2 linked regions of the Elephas maximus indicus genome follow. The protein of the gene in region 2 interacts with the protein of the main gene of each other region in a biochemical or structural test. Links are inferred from orthologs where the notes say so. Each region holds a gene or a part of one and is shown on either strand. Other genes may lie near its edges. The genes, in order: ZC3HAV1 and TRIM25.

Region 1 (3,909 bases), on a different chromosome or scaffold from region 2:
AAAACACCCGTAGTAAAAAATCAGAAGATTGAAAAATATATTTAAAACAAAAAGACAACATTAGTTGGTAAAGAATTTTTAGTCATTCACCTTAAAAACAGAAAAACAAAGCCTCCCAATATGGTTATTCAGTATAGTGCTAGAATGTTCCCTCTGCTACGCTCTCCTCCTTAGTATTTCCTTCCCTTTCCGGACTGAGATGACTCCCTCTATAAACGTAACTTCCAGCATCTCAGAAACAGACTTCCAAATTGTTGACTCACAGCATGCTAAATTCTGAGTTTTTAAAAAGGGAAGGATACTCAAGCACTTTTTTTTTTTTTTTAGAGTGAGCAGAAAGGTTTTTTGCTCTCAATAAATACATTTTTGAAAATATCTCCTCCATCTTTTATCTAAAGCATCTATCTTCTGTACATTTTATTACACATATTTGGCGGTACACGATCTAAAGGTTTTTGTTAACAGGAAGTTCGTGAGCAAAGTTTGATGACCACCATTTTGGACACTGGGACACCACTTAAGGTGTTTATGGAAGAGCCAAGAAAGAAAAACACTAATCAGGAAAAAATAATTGAGCAGAAAAACATAGGGTTAGATTAGATGAGGGAATCGACTGTAGCCAAAAGAGCCTTTTGATTACTTCAACGGCGCCTTCATTCAGAAGCAAGATGGGTATCGGAGACTTCCGAAGGAGGAGAAAAGGTTTAGATCGGGTGGAGGGGATTGTGGAAGACCCTGCCTGGAGTAAAGACGATGAGTTTGATCAGAGTATTGGCAGGGTGCTCAGGAACAGCTATTCCACGACCCTGGGAGATGCGGAGCCTGGACGGGGTAGAAAGGCCTGCACAGTGGGTCTATGTTTGGAAGCCATCTTCGTAGACAAAACCGCTAACCCAAGGGAGTGAGCGCTCTTAGGAAGAAACCTTCAAGACCTCTAGATCAAAAGACTTACCCCAACCTTGGGGCACAGCTGTTGTTATAAGGCATAAAAGACCATGTGGAACCAGAAGCAGCTACGTAAGAGGTAACCCGCACTGTTTCAAAAGACCAGTTTAAGACAGTGGTCCCAAAAGGGAGTGGTCAACGGTGGGGACAGACACTACTCAGAGACGAGGGCGAAGGGACGCCAGAAGACGACGCTACATCATCGGTAACCTCGAAGGGGGCCACTCCGGTCAGCAGGTGGGGACCGGCCCCAGATTTCATAAAAGTGATCACAGGGGGTTGGAGGGGCTGAGACTGGAGGGCCAAGCAGAGACCCGAAGGGAGCGGCGGTGGAGAGGGATGGGGGTGCGTGGCGCGGCTGGGGTGCTGGGAAGACCGTCACACGTCTAGGGAAAGACTTGAGATTTTAGGGAGTAGAGGCATTTTCCTTTCTTCCCAAAACCGCCTTCAACTTCCCCAGGCCCTGCCTGGCCCAGAAAGCACTTTATTCTTAGCGGAGGGGAGGGGGGGCTAAGCGCACTCCACCTGGGCAATATCGCGTTGGCCCTATTGGAGGCAAAGACTGGAGGCACTCGCGGGAAGGGATCGGCAAGAGCGGGTGCGCGGCCAGAGCAGAAATGCTCCTAGGCGAGCAGAGAAGAAAGGGGCTGGTGGAACAGACTGTCGGGGTGCAGAATCCCGGCGAGGGCGCGCCCCTCGTGGAACAGCGGCCCGTCTTTCTCCCCCACCTTAGGACACTCACCGCTGCGACTGCGAATAGTTGCACCGGCCCAGCAGGTTGAGCTTGCAGAGGTGCAGGTTTTCGCAGGGTCTCTGGCAGAACTTGCGACGGCAGACCCGGGCTCGAGTGGTGGCCACCACCCACCGGCTACCCTCGGTCTCCTGGACCACGAAGCGGTCGGGCCCGGCCGCTTGCAGCACCTCGCAGAGCTGCTCCTCAGATAGCGCGATCTCGCGGAGCAGCGCGTCCAGAGCCATGCGGCCCTTGTGGGCGCACAGGATCTTGGTGATGAAGCAGCACACCTCCGGGTCGGCCATGGCCACGCCGTTGCCGCTTGGCGGCCGGAGCCTTGCAGACACTGAGCGCAACTGACCGCGCTTGCTCCCGGAGAATCGAAACCTACAAGTCGCCCTCCTGGCGCGCGGGGCGGGGCGCCCCTCCCCCGGGCTCAGCGCTTTCGGTTTCCAACTCGGCTCTTGGGTGGAGGCCGGATACCACCGCCTGGGTCGTTGTGTAAAAGTCGAAGGCGATGGCCACCGAATGGCAAGCAAGTGACCAAGCGCGGGAAAGCCTGCGTAGACGCAGCGCCTGCCCGGCGGCCTCTCTCGAGTCTGGGCTTGGCGAGGATGATCACTACGAGGCTTGTCAGGACAGAAGAGAAACTGAAAATGAGCTCGGGGATTTTTATGTGCCAGTGGTGAATGACGCGGGTCTTGGTTCCTCTCGCTCCCCACCCCACTCACTCATCCCGGAACGAGCAAACCCTGGTGAGAGCAAACCGTGGTGAGCGCCTCCTCCGAGCCCGGCGCGCTGACTCCGGAATTGTAGCGAATCTGCAGGACAGCTCCACGGGTTGGTTGTTACTACCCTCCCTCTGTAATTGAGGAAGTAACTTGCACAAATACGCACTGCCATCAAGCCGGAGCTCGGGGATTCCCCATATCTCCCCCCAGTCCCCAGACCGTGGTCTGCCTGGTCTAGGAGCCATGTGTACTTTCCCTCAAACCACCGTGCGCCCTTAAAGAACACCGACTGTTCTCCCTTTCCCTCTGTTTTGCCTTCTTACAAACGTTTAGAAGAACCACTTCTTGATCCCGTCTTTCTTGATTGTAATTGCTAACAGCAGGGCCCCAGACCCGACTTAATCCCCCTGATAGAAAGAAGTCATAGGCAGGCACGCTTAGACATACCCCAAGGCTTCAGATCTGCCCCTCTCTTTAGGTATTTGGACATAGGCCCTCCTCTCTACCCTCCACCAATGAATGGTTCATTGATCAGACAAGAAATAGACCTTTAAAAAACACAGTAGAATTTGGTTGCCATATTAGAAATTCTTCTGAATCACAAATTGAAATTCTCTTCCGTTTGGTAATTGGGGTAAATGGACAGTGTCTCTCAAGAATAGAGTACTTTGGTGCAAAAACCATCCAGACATGGGGCCCAGTAGGAGTGAGGAATCTGTCTTCTGACTTCCTGGTTCTTCTGGCTACTGCTTCCACACTTGTCCTTTAATCCCCTTGGCCTTATATGTGGTCTGAGAGGTTCCCAGGGATGTGGGCTTTCACTACCAAATCAATAAAGTTGAACATACTTATTGAGTATCTTCCATGTGGACTTTACATTAGTTCGTCATTCTGAACATACAGAAATTTAAGAAATAGTCCCTGCCACTAGAGTTTGTGTTTGGGAAAACATTAAAATATAAGGGAATCAGGGACTAAATACTGCCATGGATATATAGAAGATCAGCGAATGAAGAGTCCAGTTTGGCTAGAGTGGTTGGGAATAAAGATACAAAATCCTCCTCAATTTGAAACCACACAGAACTAAGTAAGGAGGGTGGGAAGGCAAAAAAAAAAAAAAAGACAGACAGACATTTGGGGGAACTTTGAAATATGTGCTGTGGCAGTCTGAGTTCTCCAGGAAGCAGATACTGAGGTGAAGTTAGGAGGGCAAAAGATTTACAAGGTGGAATCCCTAGGTGACGCGAACAGTTAAGCACTCCACTGCTAGCTGAAAGATTGGAGGCTCAAACCCACCAGAGGTGCCTCAGGAGAAATGCCTGGCCATCTGCTTCCAGAAAGTCACAGCCTGGAAAGCCCTGTGGAGCAGTTATAGTCTGCACCATGAGTCAGCGTCAACTCGACAGCAGCTACCACCACCTCCTGCAAAAAAAAGAAAGCAGAACTGGCCCGTGGGCTTTGTCACGCTCCACAGGAGACCTGACGAAGTCTCCGCCTGTC
Region 2 (3,909 bases):
TGAGGTGTAATCCATATTGAAGGCTGTGGTCTTTGATCTTCATCAATAAGTGTTTCAAGTCCTCTTCACTTTCAGCAAGCAAGGTTGTGTCATCTGTGTAACGCAGGTTGTTAATGAGTCTTCCTCCAATCCTGATGCTGCACTCGTCTTCATGTAGTCCAGCTTCTCAGGTTATTTGCTTGGCATACAGATTGAACAGGTATGGTGAAAGGATACAACCCTGATGCATTACTATTCCTTTTTATGATTTCCCAGCTAGGACACAGGGCTGGGATTCAAACCCAGCTCTCTCTCAACACCCAGCTCTGGCCTGGAGAAACAGATAAGGCCAAGGAAGGGCTGTAACCTGAATGGGGGAGGCCTGTACTCTGAACTCAGCAGTGCTGCAACCCCCGCCCCCAGCCCTCCCCGACCTCACCCCGGCCTCATGTCTCCTTTAACAAAACAAAAAGAGCCCTTGTTCTATCTGACAGTGCCGGGAGCATGAAATAAAATAAGGCCAAGCTTTGGAACTTACAGTGGTATACAATTCAAGGTGGTTTCATTACATCTTTCAGCCTCTGCCTGGAGTCCACAGAGAAAAGGTATGATCCCTCCAAACCACTAAGAAGATCACAGACCAAGGTCCCTTAGGAATCCACCTAGTCTCACCTCCTCATTTCACTGACGAGGCCCCAAGCCACAGACCACATCCTTTGCTCAAAGTCACACAATAAGGAGGCGGTGCTATGGTGCCACAGGGCTGGTGCTCCCTATGGTCACATCCAGGGATTCCTGGGGCTCCCCACACCCTCTCCGACCTCTAATAAGAACAACTCTCCCTGGTCAACAGAACTCTCCGGGTCCCCAGAGGTGTTTGCTTACATGACCTTAAGCCTCTGGAAATGTCCCGTGCTCTGGACTCTCCAGACCTACAGATCTGAGGTTGATCCATGGAGAGAAATCACACAGTGTGTAGTCAAACCAACTTGGGTCCCAATGTCCACTCCGCCCCTTGCTGTATTAAACTAAAAAAAAAAACAACCAAACCCCCACTGCCATCCAGTCGATTCCAGCTCACAGCAACCCTACAGGACAGAGTAGAACTGCCTCATGGGGTTTCCAAGGCTGTAACCTTCATCGAAGCAGACTGCTGCATTTTTCCACTGCAGGGTAGCAAGTGATTTCAAACAGCCAACAATTCGGTTAGCAGCCAAGCGCTTTAACCACTGTGCCACCAGGGCTCTTACTGCATTACCTGGGGCTAGATTAATCTCTCTGGACCTCAGTTTCCTCAACTGTAAATGAAAATACTAAGACTCATCTCCTAGGCGCTCGCAGAACTTACTGAAGGACAGAAGTAACCTCCAGGGCTTAGAGTTAACATTCAAAACCATCTACGAAACACCATTAGACAAGCACAAGGCTTAAGGAAAGCTACTTCGGCTGTGTCTTCTGTTTTCCTCTCTGTAAAATGGGTGTATGTTGGGGGGCCAGGTATACATGGTGGGAGAGGCCTGTATCATCCCCAGCTCCTTTCTCCTGTGACATTCGGGATACCCCTGCCCTCCATCTCAGGCCCAGCAAAGCCTATACCCCCAGAGCATTCAAGGTGCGGCAGAGAGGCCCAGGGAGCACGGCCTCTGTGCAGCCCCACCAGCCCTCCGTGGCGCCCCTACCTCCAGGTCGGTGCTGGCCTGGCTCAGCGGCGCCGGCGAGCAGGCCTTGTGCTCCACCAGGCAGATATGGCAAATGCACTCGCCGTGCTCGGGGCAGAAGAATTCTCGCAGCCGGTTGTGCTGAGAACACTTGCGGCGCATCAGGTCGCGGATAGGCGGCTGCAGCGGATGGTCCTGGAAGACTGGGCTGTCGAGGTGCGGCTGCAGGTGCTCCTGGCAGAAGGAGGCCATGCACACGAGGCACGTCTTGGCGGCGGCCGCCTTGAGGCAGTGGTCGCAGGCCACCTTTTCGGGCAGGCTGGGGGCCGCGGTGCGCACGGGCAGCGTCCAGCCGTCGACAGACACCTCCCGGGCCTGCTCGGCGCTCAGGAACTGCTCCACCACGGCGCACAGCACCGTGTTCTTCTGGAGCTGCGGCCGCGCCTGGTAGACGGCGCGGCACTGCGGGCACCGGTACGGCGAGCCCTGGACGGCCCACGTCTCGTCCAGGCACGATGCGCAGAAGTTGTGGCCGCACGGCGTGGTCACCGGCACCTTGAAGGGCTCCAGGCAGATGGAGCACGACAGCTCCTCCGCCAGCGGGTTCAACTCCGCCATAGCGCTCCTCCGGAGGGGCACGACACGTTAGAACCCAGGCTGCTGCACTGTGGCACGGAAGCTGTGAGGAAACGAAACTGATCGGGGCCGGGGCGGTCCCCGCAGCCTCTCGGAAGTCACGTGGGGCGCGGGCTGGTCGGCTGGCTGGCTGCCGGGGGTGAGGGGGCGGGCCGCATCCGGCCCCCGTGCGGGCGGCGGACTGGCAGTCCAGGGGAGGGTCAGCGGCGGAACGGCCCGTATAGCTTCCGCCCGGTGGGCGCGGGGCTTTTTGGGGCCACTGTGCGGACGATGAACTCGAGGGATGCGGAGGCCTGGACCCCAGCCAGAGCCGAGGTCCAGTCGGCCTTCCGCAGACTGTTTTTGTTTTTTCTGCGGGGGGCTCGGGGGTGTGGATGCTCCATCAGCATACAGCCCTTGGAGTTTGGAGCTCACACCCACGCTCAGACTTAAACTGGGTGACTTCTTTCCATTCCACCAATCTAACAGGATTTTATTTTTAATTCTCATTTCTACTTTCCTGGAGTTTGGAGACATCCAGTTTAATGAAAGGTTTACACACACTCACACACATCTGTAACATTAGAGCTTAAACATTTTTCTAAAAATTGCTTATTTAAATTTCATTTAATATTTAGCTCTATTTTTCCCCTTCTCTGGCCTGGGTACAGGAAAAATGAGTGGACAAGAGGCTAGACGAGTTCAAGAGAGGAGACGGGATGGTGGTAATGAGAAAGATTGTGTATTGGGAGGGGTTAATTGGAGTTTGCTTTAGGTACAGAGTGGATGGCAAAAATGAGAAAAAGGTAAATGCCTTAAAAAAAAAAACCTTAGACTACTGCTAATAGTGATAGCGGAGCCCTGGTGACGCAGTGGTTAACAGCTCGGCTGCTAAGCAAAAAGGCTAGCAGTTCAAATCCACCAGCTGCTCCTTGGAAACCCTATGGGGCAGTTTTACGTTGCTTCGTAGGGTCACTATGAATGGTAATAGTAATAGTAATCCAAAAAGTAATTATTTGTTTATATGCAACCTACTGTATACTAGGTAAATCACATATATTAGCCATAATCTTTATAAAGAAGCCCTGGTGCTGCAATGGTAAAGCGCTGGGGTGCTAACCTAAAGGTTGGAGGTTTGAACCCACTCACCGGCTCCACAAGAGACAGATTTGGCAATCAGCTGATGATCTGCTTTGGTAAAGATTATAGCCAAGGTAACCTTATGGGGCTGTTCTATTCTGTCACATGCAGTCCCCATGAGTCAAATCTACTCTACAGTACACAGCAACAACCCAAAAGAGCAGTGGCTGTCAAGTCGATTCCGACTTACAGTGACCTATGGGACAAAGTAGACTCGCCCCACAGGGTTTCTGAGGCTGCAGGTTTAAATGGCCAGTCTTCCGGTGAGAAACCAAGCACCAGGGCTTGTCCCACCAGGGGTCCTTTTACAATAACAACAATCCTTATAAATTCTGCAAGACAGATGTCATTGTGTCCATTTTACAGATGAGGGTCAGATAACTTCCAGAAAGCAAGACTAAAATTCTAGCCAAGGACTGCTTAACTCAATATTCTACTCCCTGGTTCCCATAATTCTCATCCAGCAGGCTCCTATTCCTCCAGGATCCTTTACTCAATTTGTTCTCTTTCATTATGG

What was found.
Region 1: of the proteins of TRIM25 (region 2) and ZC3HAV1, one has a biochemical effect on the other in vitro, tested with the Homo sapiens proteins (2 studies listed by BioGRID). The link is inferred for Elephas maximus indicus from reciprocal best matches to the Homo sapiens genes TRIM25 and ZC3HAV1.

What each region holds. Positions count from the first base shown.
Region 1 is NC_064826.1:11,011,679-11,015,587, reverse strand, and holds the start of ZC3HAV1 (zinc finger CCCH-type antiviral protein 1), read right to left. Parts: upstream 2,508-3,909; 5' UTR 1,984-2,507; coding exon 1,688-1,983; intron 1-1,687.
Region 2 is NC_064837.1:37,146,877-37,150,785, reverse strand, and holds the start of TRIM25 (E3 ubiquitin/ISG15 ligase TRIM25), read right to left. Parts: upstream 2,337-3,909; 5' UTR 2,256-2,336; coding exon 1,659-2,255; intron 1-1,658.